Linked DNA regions of Pelodiscus sinensis. The protein of the gene in region 2 purifies or fractionates together with the protein of the main gene of each other region. This does not show direct contact. Links are inferred from orthologs where the notes say so. Each region holds a gene or a part of one and is shown on either strand. Other genes may lie near its edges.

Evidence for each region. The genes of interacting proteins can lie anywhere in the genome.
Region 1: the proteins of GPN1 (region 2) and POLR2E purify together in Homo sapiens (affinity purification with mass spectrometry; 3 studies listed by BioGRID and IntAct, with this or other methods). This does not show direct contact. The link is inferred for Pelodiscus sinensis from reciprocal best matches to the Homo sapiens genes GPN1 and POLR2E.

The regions. Positions count from the first base shown.
Region 1 is NC_134729.1:16,562,530-16,569,710, reverse strand, and holds the start of POLR2E (DNA-directed RNA polymerases I, II, and III subunit RPABC1), read left to right. Parts: upstream 1-4,155; 5' UTR 4,156-4,257; coding exon 4,258-4,314; intron 4,315-5,938; coding exon 5,939-6,113; intron 6,114-6,960; coding exon 6,961-7,076; intron 7,077-7,181. UniProt on the Homo sapiens protein: DNA-dependent RNA polymerase catalyzes the transcription of DNA into RNA using the four ribonucleoside triphosphates as substrates.
Region 2 is NW_027465901.1:117,995-125,345, reverse strand, and holds the start of GPN1 (GPN-loop GTPase 1), read left to right. Parts: upstream 1-4,297; 5' UTR 4,298-4,410; coding exon 4,411-4,497; intron 4,498-4,616; coding exon 4,617-4,710; intron 4,711-7,351. UniProt on the Homo sapiens protein: Small GTPase required for proper nuclear import of RNA polymerase II (RNAPII). May act at an RNAP assembly step prior to nuclear import.

The DNA.
Region 1 (7,181 bases), on a different chromosome or scaffold from region 2:
AAGAACAATTAGAAGCTCCATTGGTTGGCTGGTTAAGTCATTAGGATTGGAAGGTCGTGCACAAACCAGCCGATTCTCTGTTCATTCCATTCTGATAACAATCAAACTTGTGAATAAAGTCAAGTTCCAACCCTTCCCTGTGTATTTGGCTTGTGGAATTGGCATGAAACAACACAGTGACTTGGAGATCCCATTAATGAATTCCCCGGGCAGGTTAACGTGTTCCTGTGTGTTGCCTTTTCGGAGATCTGATTTGTGTCCATTGATTCTTTCCCGTGGAGACTGTCCAGTTTGGCCAATACACACGGCAGAGGGGCATTGCTGGCATTTGATGGCATAGACCACATTAGTGGATGTGCAGTTCAATGAGCCGGATGCAGTGGCTGATGTGGTTGGGTCCAGTGATGAAATAGCTTGCGTAGACGTGTGGGCAGAGTTGGCGCCGGGGCCGATCCTCGCCTACAAACAATCCCCTAACTTCAAACAAATTCTTTCCAGTCACCACACGACACACCTCCATCATAATCAGCCAGGAATCCACCCCTGCAATCAGCCCCGGTGCCAACTCTGCCTATACATCTACACTGGCAATTTCATCCCTGGACCCAACCACATCATGATACCATCTACATGTTTTGTTAGTCTTTAAGATGTGCAGAAGGTCAGAGATAATGGTCCTTTCTGACTTTTAAATCTGGGGGTCTCTAAGTAAGTGCAAATGACTTCACTTAGGTAGGAAAAACCAAAGGCTCAGCTGTAAAATGGAGACTCGCTAGCTAAGGGCTTGTCTCCACTTACTGGGAGATGGACGCTGTAGAGTTTGATGTCCTCGGATTCAAATTAGCATCACTAGTAAGGACCCACTAAATCAACCACTGATCGTGCCCATCACCTCCAATATTCCACTGAGTTGCGAGGAGTAAGAGACGCTGATGGGAAAATTTCCCAGTGGGGATGCCATGGAAATTCGACATAAAGTATGTCGACTGCAGCTACGCTATTCACGTACCTGGAGTTGTGTCTCTTAGGTCGACAGTCTCCCGCCGTGTCGACCTGGCCTTTGGCAGGATGGCTGAAAAGGATCTGGAGGCTACAGAGAATCGCAAATTGAATCTGAGTTAACAGTGTGATAGAACTGCACAAAAAGGCTAATATTCTGGGGTGTATTAACAGGTGTGTCATATGTAAGACATGGACGGTAATTGTCCCTTTCCACTCTGCACTGGTGAGGTCTCACGAAAGCACCATGTTCAGTTCTGTGGGCACCTCACTTTAGAAAAGATCTAGACTCTCTCCAATTTGATCAGAGGGGGAAATACAAGGATAAAAGGTTCAGAAAATGTGGCCAATGGGGGAAGCTGAAAAAAACTGGGTATGCTTAGTCTTGTGAAAGGAAGAGTGGGAGCGCAGGGGCTGATAACAGTCTTCCAATATCTTCAGGGCAGGTATGAGGAGACAGCCGATCAACTGTTTTCCACGTCCGGTGAACATAGGACAAGAAATAATGGACTTAATCTGCAGCAAGGAAGAGTTGAGGAAAAATTCTCCAACTATAAGGGCAGTTAAGCTCTGCAATAGGCTTCCAAGGAGGAAAGGGGGCGGGTTGTGAATCCCCACCACCGGAGGATTTTAACAACAGGTAGGACAAGCACCTGCCAGGGGTGGTGACTTTTCAAGGTCCGGACATTGCGATGGTTCTGTGATTAATACTACGTGGGAGTCTGAAGTAGAAAGAGTCAAAGGGCAGATGGAACATGGTTTTAGTTCATAAACACGGATTGTTTCTGTTCAGATCTTTCTAAGCCCTGCTCTGCCAGGACAAAAGGAGGACCAAGGAGGCATCCGCTCTGCAACTGGTAGATGGAAGAATAATGCAAGTTGGAAGAGCCCAGGGCCTTGGGTTGAACATTTTCAGTGCGTGCTTAGGGAGGGAGGCTGACTGGTAGCTTTGGATCACAGCATGAAAGCGTAAGAAAGAACCCAGTAGCATGGGATGCTTGTCAAGGGTTCTCTTTCTGCTTCTGCCAATTGGTCTTGTCTCTCAAAATTGCGTCAAATCCCCCATCAAAGGGCTTTTGATATGAGGCGTGTGAGAAATTGCAAGCTTGGCTTTGCCATGATAAGGCGCTTTGATCATATGTCAAGAGCTGAGACGCTCAAAACTGGCATCAAAACCAAGCAACCGGCACTTGAAAAACTGGCTCCACCCTCCTGCTGGGAGGCAGAAATACTCTTTCCCAAGTTAAACTGGCCACAGCCAATAGAGGCGTGCTTGTGCTTTGCCTCTAAGCCACTTTTCCTTTGAGTGGGAGAAATCATAGGAGCTGAATTTGCCCTGTCCAGAGCTGTACATTTTGTATTCTATGCTATACAGGTTCTCATTCCCACCCCACATCACCGTGCTATCTGAGCACTTTCCAGGCATGGTTTAATGATGCAATTAACGTTAATTCTCTCTCTGTCCTCTCCCTGGGGAGAATTGCATGGGCAATAGAATGTAGGGGTTTGGTTTTGTCACTTGCAAATGTCTGTGCGGCTCTGTGTTTGTGTTAGAAAAGGCGGAGCAGAAGGAGGTTTGGGATGATCCTGTGTTCCCCGGGGGTTCACCCCACAGTTTCAGAGCAGTTCCTGAGAGCTCTGGCGCCTGCACGGACAGGCTCGTCCCTCTCCACGGTGTAATTTGATGCAACAAATCACACTGCAGCAGGAAAACATGGGTCATGCTGCGGTGTACAATCCAGACCAGTGTGGGGTAGTGTCACCTTCCCAGTTACTCTGGGTGCCTTCAGATGGTCTGCTACTGTGGCTCACAGCCCAGACACCAACAGCCAGCTGACAAGCGAGCGATCCCTTGAGGGTCTGTGCTTTGTAACTCTGGTTCAGCACCCTGATTCCAGCAGCTGGCCTGCAACACACCTGCGCCACTCTGCTTTCTATCACGCAGTTACCTTATGCCAAGGTGACCCCTAGTACCCTCCCAGGCCTGAATTTCCCCAAGGTGTCCAGACCTTTCCTGGATCATTCAAAGGAATAATAAGGTTAATTTGCTCCTCTAAAGAGACAGATTGCATAGCTTATTACTCTACCCGATTGCTTCAGTTCAAACACAGCCCTGGCCTGGTTTAGATTAAAAGGCAAAGAGGTTTATTAACAAAAGGAGGCAGGATTTTAAGTGAGTTCAGGTGTGAAGGATGGAGTTAGAAATGGCTACAAGCAAATACAAACAGGAACATGCGTCTCAGACTAATACTCGGCATCAGCCAGTTGCAATCTTTGCCTGCTACGATTTCCTGAGACTTCAACCCCTTGGCTCAGGCCTCCTGAGTCCCTCTGGTTCTCTGCCCTCCCTTTATAGCCCAATAAACCTTTGAAAAGCCTCTCTCTACGTACTTTGACTTTGCTTCAAGAGGCAGGAACCCTTCTTGGGATGCCAGCCTCCATCCCCCATGGAGGTTAGGTCAGCTCTCCACACACTGCTTCCCTCCTGCCTTTGTTTGTCTCTCATGTGAATAAGGCTCCTTGTCTCTGGCTGCTGACAGGCCGTGTAGACAAGCAAATACTTTGTGGCCATGTGGTCATGCTGCCCCCAGCTCTCTGGGGAGTGCTTGATGGCTCTGTTTCCCAAGTAGATACAGTGCCGCGCCCCTGTCACCGGCCAGCCCTGATGCATTTGCAGTTATGCATCTGCTCTCTTCAATTCCCAACCTCAAAACATGATCCCCGAGGCCATCAACGCAATCGATTGTGTGATTTGGTGCAGTATGAACACGCATTTCACAGGGACATAAGCCCCAGAGTGACGAATCCCAGTTTCCCAGGGGTGTGGCACAGGCCCCTCTTAGCTACTGCTCATGGCCTTGCAGGAGCATGGAGGGGAATACAGGTGCAATTGCCCTGAGCTCTAGCGTCCTGGTCCCAAGTGATGCACTTGCAAGGCTGCAAGTCCCCTACAGCAGTAGGCTAGGAAACTACAACTCCCAGCATCCTTTGTTCGCAAAGACCCCTGCCGCCTGAGTGCGTGACTACTCTGTGCCTGTTATTTGCGGCAACATAATTACACCTGGTGTCACCGTGACTTTGTACGGACACAGCCCTGGGAAGCAGCGAAGGGGGGGGGATGTGTGTGTGTGTGAGTGTGTGTGTGTGTCCGTCCGTATCAGGCGTGTGTGTAGGACACCTCTACTGGGCAGGTCTGCGCCTGCGCGGGGGCCTGCGTCGGCGCTTGCGCAGTGGCTCGTTCGGCGCGCGGCGGGCGCCATGGACGACGAGGAGGAGACCTACCGGCTCTGGAAGATCCGCAAAACCATCATGCAGGTGGGGGGGGGGTTCCGAGCCCGCGCGGGGGGGGCGTGTGTGTGTGGGGGGGGTTCCGAGCCCGCGGGGGGGGGGGAGTGTGTGTGTGGGGGGGGGTTCCGAGCCCGCGGGGGGGGGGGAGTGTGTGTGTGGGGGGGGGTTCCGAGCCCGCGGGGGGGGGGGAGTGTGTGTGTGGGGGGGGGTTCCGAGCCCGCGGGGGGGGGGGGAGTGTGTGTGTGTGGGGGGGTTCCGAGCCCGCGGGGGGGGGGGGAGTGTGTGTGTGTGGGGGGGTTCCGAGCCCGCGGGGGGGGGGGGAGTGTGTGTGTGTGGGGGGGTTCCGAGCCCGCGGGGGGGGGAGTGTGTGTGTGGGGGGGGGTTCCGAGCCCGCGGGGGGGGGGGAGTGTGTGTGTGTGGGGGGGTTCCGAGCCCGCGGGGGGGGGAGTGTGTGTGTGTGGGGGGGTTCCGAGCCCGCGGGGGGGGGGAGTGTGTGTGTGGGGGGGGGTTCCGAGCCCGCGCGGGGGGGGGAGTGCGTGTGTGGGGGGGGGGTTCCGAGCCCGCGGGGGGTGTGTGTGTGTGTGGGGGGGGGGGTTCCGAGCCCGCGCGGGGGGGAGTGTGTGTGTGTGGGGGGGTTCCGAGCCCGCGGGGGGGGGGAGTGTGTGTGTGGGGGGGGGTTCCGAGCCCGCGGGGGGTGTGTGTGTGTGTGGGGGGGGGGTTCCGAGCCCGCGCGGGGGGGAGTGTGTGTGTGGGGGGGGGTTCCGAGCCCGCGGGGGGGGGGGGAGTGTGTGTGTGGGGGGGGGTTCCGAGCCCGCGGGGGGGGGGAGTGTGTGTGTGTGGGGGGGTTCCGAGCCCGCGCGGGGGGGAGTGCGTGTGTGGGGGGGGGTTCCGAGCCCGCGGGGGGTGTGTGTGTGTGTGGGGGGGGGGGTTCCGAGCCCGCGCGGGGGGGAGTGTGTGTGTGGGGGGGGTTCCGAGCCCGCGCGGGGGGCGAGGGCGGGGGCCGGGTTCTGTCCTGCTCTGCTCCGCTCTCCGTGGGTGAGCGTAGCCGAACACCCCCTTGGGGCTGGAGGCCTTAGTGGATTCCCTGCGGAGGGAGGGGCTGGTCCTGGGCAGGGTGCAGGCCCGCACTGCTGGGGGCTGACTGCGGGGAAAGCAGGGCCGAGGCACCAGGCGCTATCCAAGTGCACCCAGCACCGGGCGGGTTCCAGCCGGGGTCCTGGCTGTCCGTGGTCTGGGTGGCACTGCAGGGGGCCCGTGGTGGGTTACACGAGGGCTTAGCAGTAGCCAGCTGTTGGCTGCACTCTGGTCCCTGTTGCGGGACCCGGGAGCTCCTAGAAGGTGTTTTCTCAAACAGGTAGGGCAGGTGAGCGGTGATGACGGTTAATAACATTCAGCATGTATCTTGCTGTCCTGCCTCCACAGCACAAGCCGGCTGGGCCCTGTTGTGCTTGGTGCTGTGCAGACACGATAGCCTAACCCCAAACAGCCAAAAGACTGGCCGATCAGTGGAAGCTGCCAGACAACCTTGGTATAGCCTCTGGGAGTGGGGAGACATGAACGAGGGAGGATTTGCTGGGTGGGGCGGAGGGAGACTGTAAAGCTGCATCTGTGTCTTATATGCATCACGAGTAAACAGGATTGTTGTCCTCAGTTGTGTCACGATCGGGGCTATCTGGTGACCCAGGATGAGTTGGATCAGACCTTGGAAGAGTTTAAAGCCCAATTTGGTGACAAGCCCAGTGAAGGGAGACCACGGCGGACTGACCTGACGGTGCTGGTGGCCCATAATGATGATCCTACAGATCAGATGTTTGTCTTCTTTCCTGGTGCGTATGGTGCTGTGAGAGACTGAGGATAGGTGTAAACATGAACCTTATTCTCCATGGGTGTCAGCAGCTCTCACTGGATGCAGTGCCAGCCTAGAACCGATTCTTTTAACTAGCTGCAAAAACTGCATGGAGGGGGTGGCTTAACTTTCTGAGCATCGGTTCTGAAGTGCTGGGTTTCTGGGAACTAATCCCAGGTTGGGTGGCCCAAGTTAGATCAGTTCAGCACCATTCAACATGCCACTTATCGTGTGGGTCTGTCAGAAGGCCTGCCTGTTCCTAGAAAATTCCTGGGAGCTCTTGACTCCAGCCAGCTTGGCTATCTGCTTTAGAGGCCTAACTTTGCTGGCATTATGGAGGCAAAACGTCCCTTGAAGCCAATGAACATTTTGGCTAAGTACGGACTGACTAGGCTGAACAGCCAGGCTACAATCCTGAGCGATTTATAGCAGGGTTGTTTGGCCGCTTGGCTATGTAGCCGCTCTCTGTCGTTCATTCTTTTTCTTGGTGCTGCGTAGTACAGTCTATCACATTTGGATAAGTGGCAAATGCCCAATAGGGCCTCTGAACCAGCTAGCTTGTAATGAAAACAGTTCTGTTTTCTGGAGTCCCAGCTGCACCGCTGTGGTGAATCACTTTGCACTTGCGGTTTCTGGAAGTGCAAGATGATACCTGCACTCTGAAGAGCAGCAGCATGTCATGACAAAGGGGAGGCTCTTAGAAACCCAGGAGAAGAATAGAGATGTGCTAGCACTGTTGTTCTGAGACCAGGTGCAGAACAAAGGTGCTTAAAATGCAGTCTTCTGACAGTCAGGAGTAATTGTGTTGTGACTTATTTATTCCTCAGAGGAGCCCAAGGTCGGGATAAAGACCATCAAGATGTACTGCCAGAGGATGCAGGAGGAGAACATCACCAGGGCTCTGATTGTGGTACAGCAGGGCATGACCCCCTCAGCAAAGCAGGTAGGCAATGATCCTACGTAAGGGCTGGGTGGGAGTGGCTAGGATGGGACAGGAGATACACAGCCTTGGGTGGGAGGGGGGAGAGTTGGTACCAAATGCCCAGTG
Region 2 (7,351 bases):
ATCCCAAATAAATCAACCCAACCAAGGCTTTGTCAAGCCAAGGCTTAAAAACGTCTAGGGATGGGGTTTCCACCACCTCCCTAGGTAACTCATTCCAGTGCTTCCCCATCCTCCTACTGAAATAGTTTTTTCTAATATCTAACCTAGACCTCCCCCACTGTAACTTGAGACCATTGCTCCTTGTTCTGCCACCTGTCACTACTGCGAACAGCCTTTCTCCATCCTCTTTGGAACCTCCCTTCAGGAAGTTGAAGGCTGCTGACAAATCCCCTCTCGCGCTTCTGCAGACCAAATAAACCCAAATCCCTCAGCCTCTCCTCATAGGTCATGTGCTCCTGCCCCCTAATCATTTTGGTCCCCTCTGTTGAACCCTGTCCAGTGCATCCATATCATTTCTATAGTGGGGGGACCCAGAACTGGATGCAGTACTCCTGGGCTACGTCTACACTACATTTTATAGTACCTCCTGATAGTCCAGCATATCCGATAATCTGGCACCACTTAGGTCCCAAAGGTTCCAGATTATTGGAAGTCTACGTACTTAAAAAATATTTTATTACCTTTTGAGTTTTTGTCTAGCTGTTCTTCAAACTCCTTTTTGGCTTTTCTTACTACATTTTTACACTTAATTTGGCAGTGTTTATGCTCCTTTTTATTAACCTCACTAGGGTTTGACTTCCACTTTTTAAAAGATGCCTTTTTATCTATTGCTGCTTCTTTTACATGGGGGAGGGATAGCTCAGAGGTTTGAGCATTGGCCTGCTAAACCCCAGGTTGTGAGTTTAATCCTTGCAGAGGCCATTTAGGGATTTGGGGCAAAAATTCATCAGGGATGGTACTTGGTCCTGTTGTGAAGGCAGGGGACTGGACTCAATGACCTTGCAAGTTCCCTTCTGGTTCTAGGAGATAGGCAATCTCCTTTATTATTATTATTTATTTTATTATTTTGTTAAGCCACAGTGGCTCCTTTTTAGTTCTTTTACTGTGTTTTTTTAATTTGGGGTGTACATTTAAGTTGGGCCTCTATTATGGTGTCTTTGAAAAGTGTCCATGCAGCTTGCAGGGATTTTACTTTAGTCACTGTACCTTTTAATTTCTGTTTAACTAACCACCCCATTTTTGCATAGTTTCCCTTTCTGAACTTAAATGCTACAGTCATGGGCTGCTGAAGTGTTCTTCCCACCACAGGAATGTTAAATGTTATTATATTATGGTCACTATTTCTGAGTGGTCCTGTTATAGTTACATCTTGGACTAGATCCTGTGCTCCATTCAGGACTAAATTGAGAATTGCCTCTCCCCTTGTGGGTTCCTGTACCAGCTGCTCCAAGAAGCAGTTGTTTCAGGTATCAAGAAATTTTGTCTCTGCAATTTGTCCTGAGGTGACATGTAATATGGGGATAATTGACAGTCAATAGGGGGATAATTGAAATCCCGCACTATTATTGAGTTCTTTATTTTGTTAGCCTCTCTAATCTCCCTTAGCATTTCATAGTCACTATCATTGTCCTGGTTAGGTGGTCAATAATAGATCTCTACTGTTATATTCTTATTAGAGCAGAGAATTACTATGCATAGAGATTCTATGGGACATGTTGATTCATTTAAGATTTTTACTTCATTTGATTCTAATTTTTTTTCACATATAGTGCCTCGTCCACCTCATCAACCTGATCCAGTGAGCTATAGCAGACACCAACCACAACATCACCCCTGTTGCTCCTACCTCTAAACTTAACCTATAGACTCTCAACAGACTTTTCTCCCTCTATATACTGGAGCTCTGAGCAGTTCTATTGCTCTCTTACATACAGTGCAACTCCTCCTCCTTTAGCCATGGGCTGGCTGCTCATCTTGATACCCTGTCTCTGAGCATGGTGGGGTTGGAAATAGAAGAGCATGCCTTGTCCTGGCCATAACATGGACCTGAGAGCATCACTGCTCAGTGTTGTGTCCATAGTTTCAGGAGCACAATCAAACAAGAAATAAGAGTAAATTATGGGATTGAACTGAGGGATTTCTGGGAATTCAACACCCACAGATTCAAAATTCCCTGGGAGGAATGAGGACCCCACAATCCATAGCAGAACTCCAGTCTTTACCAGACAGTGTGCCAGAAGGCGGCATGAGAGATGCAGGATGCCAGCCCATGGAGCCATGTATCTTTTGTGGATACAATCTGATGCCATGTACACCTTCTGCCCAAGGGTGAACACTATCTTCTGATACAGGGCATCCAAGACCTGCATTCATTGAAAAGGGCTGTTGCCTTGGGAGCAGCAGTAGTTGTCAGTGTGCCCCCAGGTGGTGCTAAGACGACCAGGAGAAAGGCTGTAGCACTGGGAGCAGAGGATTTGTCTGTGCCTGAAGGCAGTGCTAAGAGGACAGGGGAGAAAGGCTGTGGCACTAGGAGGTGGAGAGGGGTTGTCTGTGTCTGCAGGCAGTGCTAAGATTCTGGGGTGCTGGGCTGTGCAGATTGGGAGAGAAAAGCTAGATTGCCCTGGGGAGCTGCTGGCGGCGGCGAGGCGGGCAGTGGCTGAGCGCTGGTAGGCAGAGATGCGCTGGGCAGCGCAGGCTGTAAGGGGAGGCGCTGGGGGGCGGAGGGGTGTGGCCAGGCAGCGCTAGTACTGCCCAGCCCCCTGCCCGGCCACACCCCTCCGCCCCCCAGCACCTCCCCTCGCAGCCTGTACTGCCCAGCGTCCCGCCCTCTAGCGCTGCCTGGCCACGCCCCTCCGCCCCCCAGCACCTCCCCACGCAGCCTGTACTGCCCAGCGTCCCGCCCTCTAGCGCTGCCTGGCCACGCCCCTCCGCCCCCCAGCACCTCCCCTCGCAGCCTGTACTGCCCAGCGCCCCGCCCTCTAGCGCTGCCTGGCAACGCCCCTCTGCCTCCCAGCACCACCCCTCGCAGCCTGTACTGCCCAGCCCCCCGCCCTCTAGCGCTGCCTGGCCACGCCCCTCTGCCTCCCAGCACCTCCCCTCGCAGCCTGTACTGCCCAGTCCCCCTCCGCCCCCCCTCCGCCCTCAGGCTGCGAGGGGAGGTGCTGGGGGATAAGTGGGTGTGGCCGGGCAGGGGGCTGGGCAGTGCAGGCTGCGAGGGGAGGTGCTGGGGGGGCGGAGGGGCGTGGCCAGGCAGCGTTAGAGGGCGGGGCGCTGGGCAGTACAGGCTGCGAGGGGAGATGCTGGGGGGCGGAGGGGTGTGGCCGGGCAGGGGGCTGGGCAGTACAGGCTGCGAGGGGAGGTGCTGGGGGATAAGGGGGTGTGGCCGGGCAGGGGGCTGGGCAGTACAGGCTGCGAGGGGAGGTGCTGGGGGATAAGGGGGTGTGGCCGGGCAGGGGGCTGGGCAGTACAGGCTGCGAGGGGAGGTGCTGGGGGATAAGTGGGTGTGGCCGGGCAGGGGGCTGGGCAGTACAGGCTGCGAGGGGAGGTGCTGGGGGATAAGGGGGTGTGGCCGGGCAGGGGGCTGGGCAGTACAGGCTGCGAGGGGAGGTGCTGGGGGATAAGTGGGTGTGGCCGGGCAGGGGGCTGGGCAGTACAGGCTGCGAGGGGAGGTGCTGGGGGATAAGGGGGTGTGGCCGGGCAGGGGGCTGGGCAGTACAGGCTGCGAGGAGAGGTGCTGGGGGATAAGGGGGTGTGGCCGGGCAGGGGGCTGGGCAGTACAGGCTGCGAGGGGAGGTGCTGGGGGATAAGGGGGTGTGGCCGGGCAGGGGGCTGGGCAGTACAGGCTGCGAGGGGAGGTGCTGGGGGATAAGGGGGTGTGGCCGGGCAGGGGGCTGGGCAGTACAGGCTGCGAGGGGAGGTGCTGGGGGATAAGGGGGTGTGGCCGGGCAGGGGGCTGGGCAGTACAGGCTGCGAGGGGAGGTGCTGGGGGATAAGGGGGTGTGGCCGGGCAGGGGGCTGGGCAGTACAGGCTGCGAGGGGAGGTGCTGGGGGATAAGGGGGTGTGGCCGGGCAGGGGGCTGGGCAGTACAGGCTGCGAGGGGAGGTGCTGGGGGATAAGAGGGTGTGGCCGGGCAGGGGGCTGGGCAGTACAGGCTGCGAGGGGAGGTGCTGGGGGATAAGGGGGTGTGGCCGGGCAGGGGGCTGGGCAGTACAGGCTGCGAGGGGAGGTGCTGGGGGATAAGGGGGTGTGGCCGGGCAGGGGGCTCGGCAGTACAGGCTGCGAGGGGAGGTGCTGGGGGATAAGGGGGTGTGGCCGGGCAGGGGGCTGGGCAGTACAGGCTGCGAGGAGAGGTGCTGGAGGGGCGTGGCCAGGCAGCGCTAGAGGGCGGGGTGCTAGGCCGCCTGGGGGAACTGCTGTCGCGGGGTAGGAGCGCTGAACATCCGGGCCGAAGAGTAGCCTGGAGCGAGCCGTTTCCGCTTCCGGTCCCAAGCACCTTTCTGTGTGCCGGAAGCGGAAGGGACAGTAGCGAGATGGCGGCTGCAGCGGAGGAGGCGGCCCCACCGGTCTGCGTGCTGGTGCTGGGCATGGCGGGCTCCGGGAAAACCACCCTGGTGCAGGTGAGGAGATTCGCGCTCCGCGTGAGGCGGGGGCTCCGCTTTCCGGGGGTGGGGGGACGGGAAAAGTGTGTGTGTGGGGGGGTCACTCACGTCACGTCACATCGCCCTCTCCTCCGCAGAGGCTCACCGCCCATCTGCACAGCCAGGGGCGCCCGCCCTACGTCATCAACCTGGACCCTGCGGTGCACGAGCTTCCGTTTCCTGCCAACATCGGTGAGTCGCTCGCTCCGCCCTCGGGCGGGTCTCGCGCTTTTCCTCACGTGCAGTTCGCTGTCTTCTCAGCGCTCTGCGGTGTCTGTGCGTCTTCGTTCAGAGCCGGACGCCGCGCCCAGGCGTGCACAGCTGTGCAGGGCACCATAGGGATGCCCTAAGTTTAGTGGTGCACTGTGTTATGCATAGGGATGGGACGTTAGGCAGCTACAGGCAGCACTAGCTCTGGTGGCCCATCTTTTGGCCCACCACAGGTTGTAAAGTAAAGCCATTGTGGAGAAACTAAATGATTTCTTTGCTTCAGTCTTCATGGCTGAGGTTGGGGAGAGTCCCGAATCTGCACCGTCCTTTGTGGGTAATGAATCTGAGGAGCTGTCCCGGATTGAAGTGTTGTTAGAGGAGGTTTTGGAACAGATAGAAAAACTTTGTTAACAAATCTCCGGGACCGGACGGCATTCATTCAAGGGTCCTAAAAGAACTCAATAGCTCAGCAATTTCCCATTTATCTGTCGTTTGTAACCTATCCTTTAAACCGTCTTCCGTACCTAATGACTGGAAGGTAGCCAACGTGACACCAATATTTAAAAAGGGCTCTAGAGGCCATCCTGGCAATTACAGACCGGTAAGTCTAACTTCAGTACCGGGCAAATTAGTCGAAACAATAGTGAAGAATAAAATTGTGAAGCATGTAGAAGAACATAATTTGTTGGACAAAAGTCAACATGGTTTCTGTAAAGGGAAATCCTGTCTTACTAATCTGTTAGAGTTCTTTGAAGGGGTTAACAAACATGCAGACAAGGGTGATCCAGTAGATATAGTATACTTGGATTTTCAGAAAGCCTTTGACAAGGTCCCTCACCAAAGGCTCTTGTGTAAATTACATGGCCATGGGATAAGAGGGAAGGTCCTTTCTTGGATTGAGAACTGGTTAAAAGACAGGAAACAAAGGGTAGGAATAAATGGTAAATTTTCAGATTGGAAAGGGGTAACTAGTGGTGTCTCCCAAGGATCAGTCCTGGGACCAATCCTCTTCAACTTATTCATAAATGATCTGGAGAAAGGGGTAAGCAGTGAGGTAGTAAAGTTTGCGGATGATACAAAACTGTTTAGGATAGTCACGACAGAAGCAGACTGTGAGGGACTCCAAGAAGATCTCACCAAACTGAGTGATTGGGCAACAAAATGGCAAAAGAAATTCAATGTGGATAAGTGTAAAGTAATGCACATTGGGGAAAAATAACCCCAACTATATGTACAGTATGATGGGGGCTAATTTGGCTACGACAAATCAGGAAAGAGATCTTGGAGTTATCGTGGACAGTTCTCTGAAAACTTCCACACAGTGTGCAGTGGCGGTCAAAAAGGCAAATAGGATGCTAGGAATTATTAGGAAAGGGATAGAAAATAAGACCCAGAATATCTTACTGCCCCTGTATAAAACTATGGTACTCCCACATCTTTAATACTGCGTACAGATGTGGTCTCCTCACCTCAGAAAAGATATTTTGGCCTTGGAAAGGGTTCACAAAAGGGCAACTAAAATGATTAGGGGTTTGGAACAGGTCCCATATGAGGAGAGGTTAAAGCGACTGGGACTTTTCAGTTTAGAAAAGAGGAGACTGAGGGAGGGATATGATAGAAGTATATAAAATCATGAGTGGTATGGAGAGGGCCAATAAAGAAAAGTTATTTATTAGTTCCCTAAATAGAAGAACTAGAGGACACCAAATGAAATTAAATGGGTAGCAGGTTTAAAACTAATAAAAGAAAGTTCTTCTTCACACAGCGTGTAGTCAGCCTGTGCAGCTCCTTGCCAGAGGAGGCGGTGAAGGCTAGGACTATAATAGAGTTTAAAGAGAAGCTAGATAATTTCATGGAGGTTAGGTCCATAAAAGGCTATTAGCCAGGGGATAAAATGGTGTTGTTGGCCTGTGTTTGTCAGAGGCTGGAGAGGGATGGCAGGAGACAAATCGCTTGATAAATGTCTTCAGTCCACCCTCTCTGGGGCACCTGGTGCTGGCCACTGTCGGCAGACAGGATGCTGGGCTAGATGGACCTTTGGTCTGACCCAGTACGGCTGTTCTTATGTGCCCAGCCACTGGCACTGCTCACTGTTTCCTTCTGGTCAGCTCCCCCGCCCCCCCCCCCCCCCTCGTATCTTTCAGCTAGCTCACAGCTTTACAGGGCCATTCCTGGGATGTTGGGACAATACCCCTCCCCCAAGTTCCAGGCTCTTGCACCCTGCTTGCACCCTCCATCCCCCTATTCCTTTCCCCAGTGCCCCTCCCCCATACTCTTGAGTGCAGTGCTGCAGTGGGAGCCTGCAAAATAGAATGAGGTGAGGCCCTGTTGCACCACTGCTTTCCATCAGTGAGTGTGGGAGTAGGCCTGACCCCTATTGTCAGCACCAGCCCGTCTCTCTTCCGCCCCCCCCCCCCCCCCCCATCCTCTGGGTTGCCCTGGGGCCTGTGTTTCTGCATCTCTATGATGTTTGGGGCCTAGCACAGAGTAGTTGCTGGGATGGCTCCACCTGTCCCCCTTCCTGTTCCCCCACTAACCTCTCCCTTGTTCCTGTCCCCCACAACTCCTCTTCTTCCTCCTCCCCACCACAGCCCTGAGCATAGTCACCCCACTGCAGAGGGCG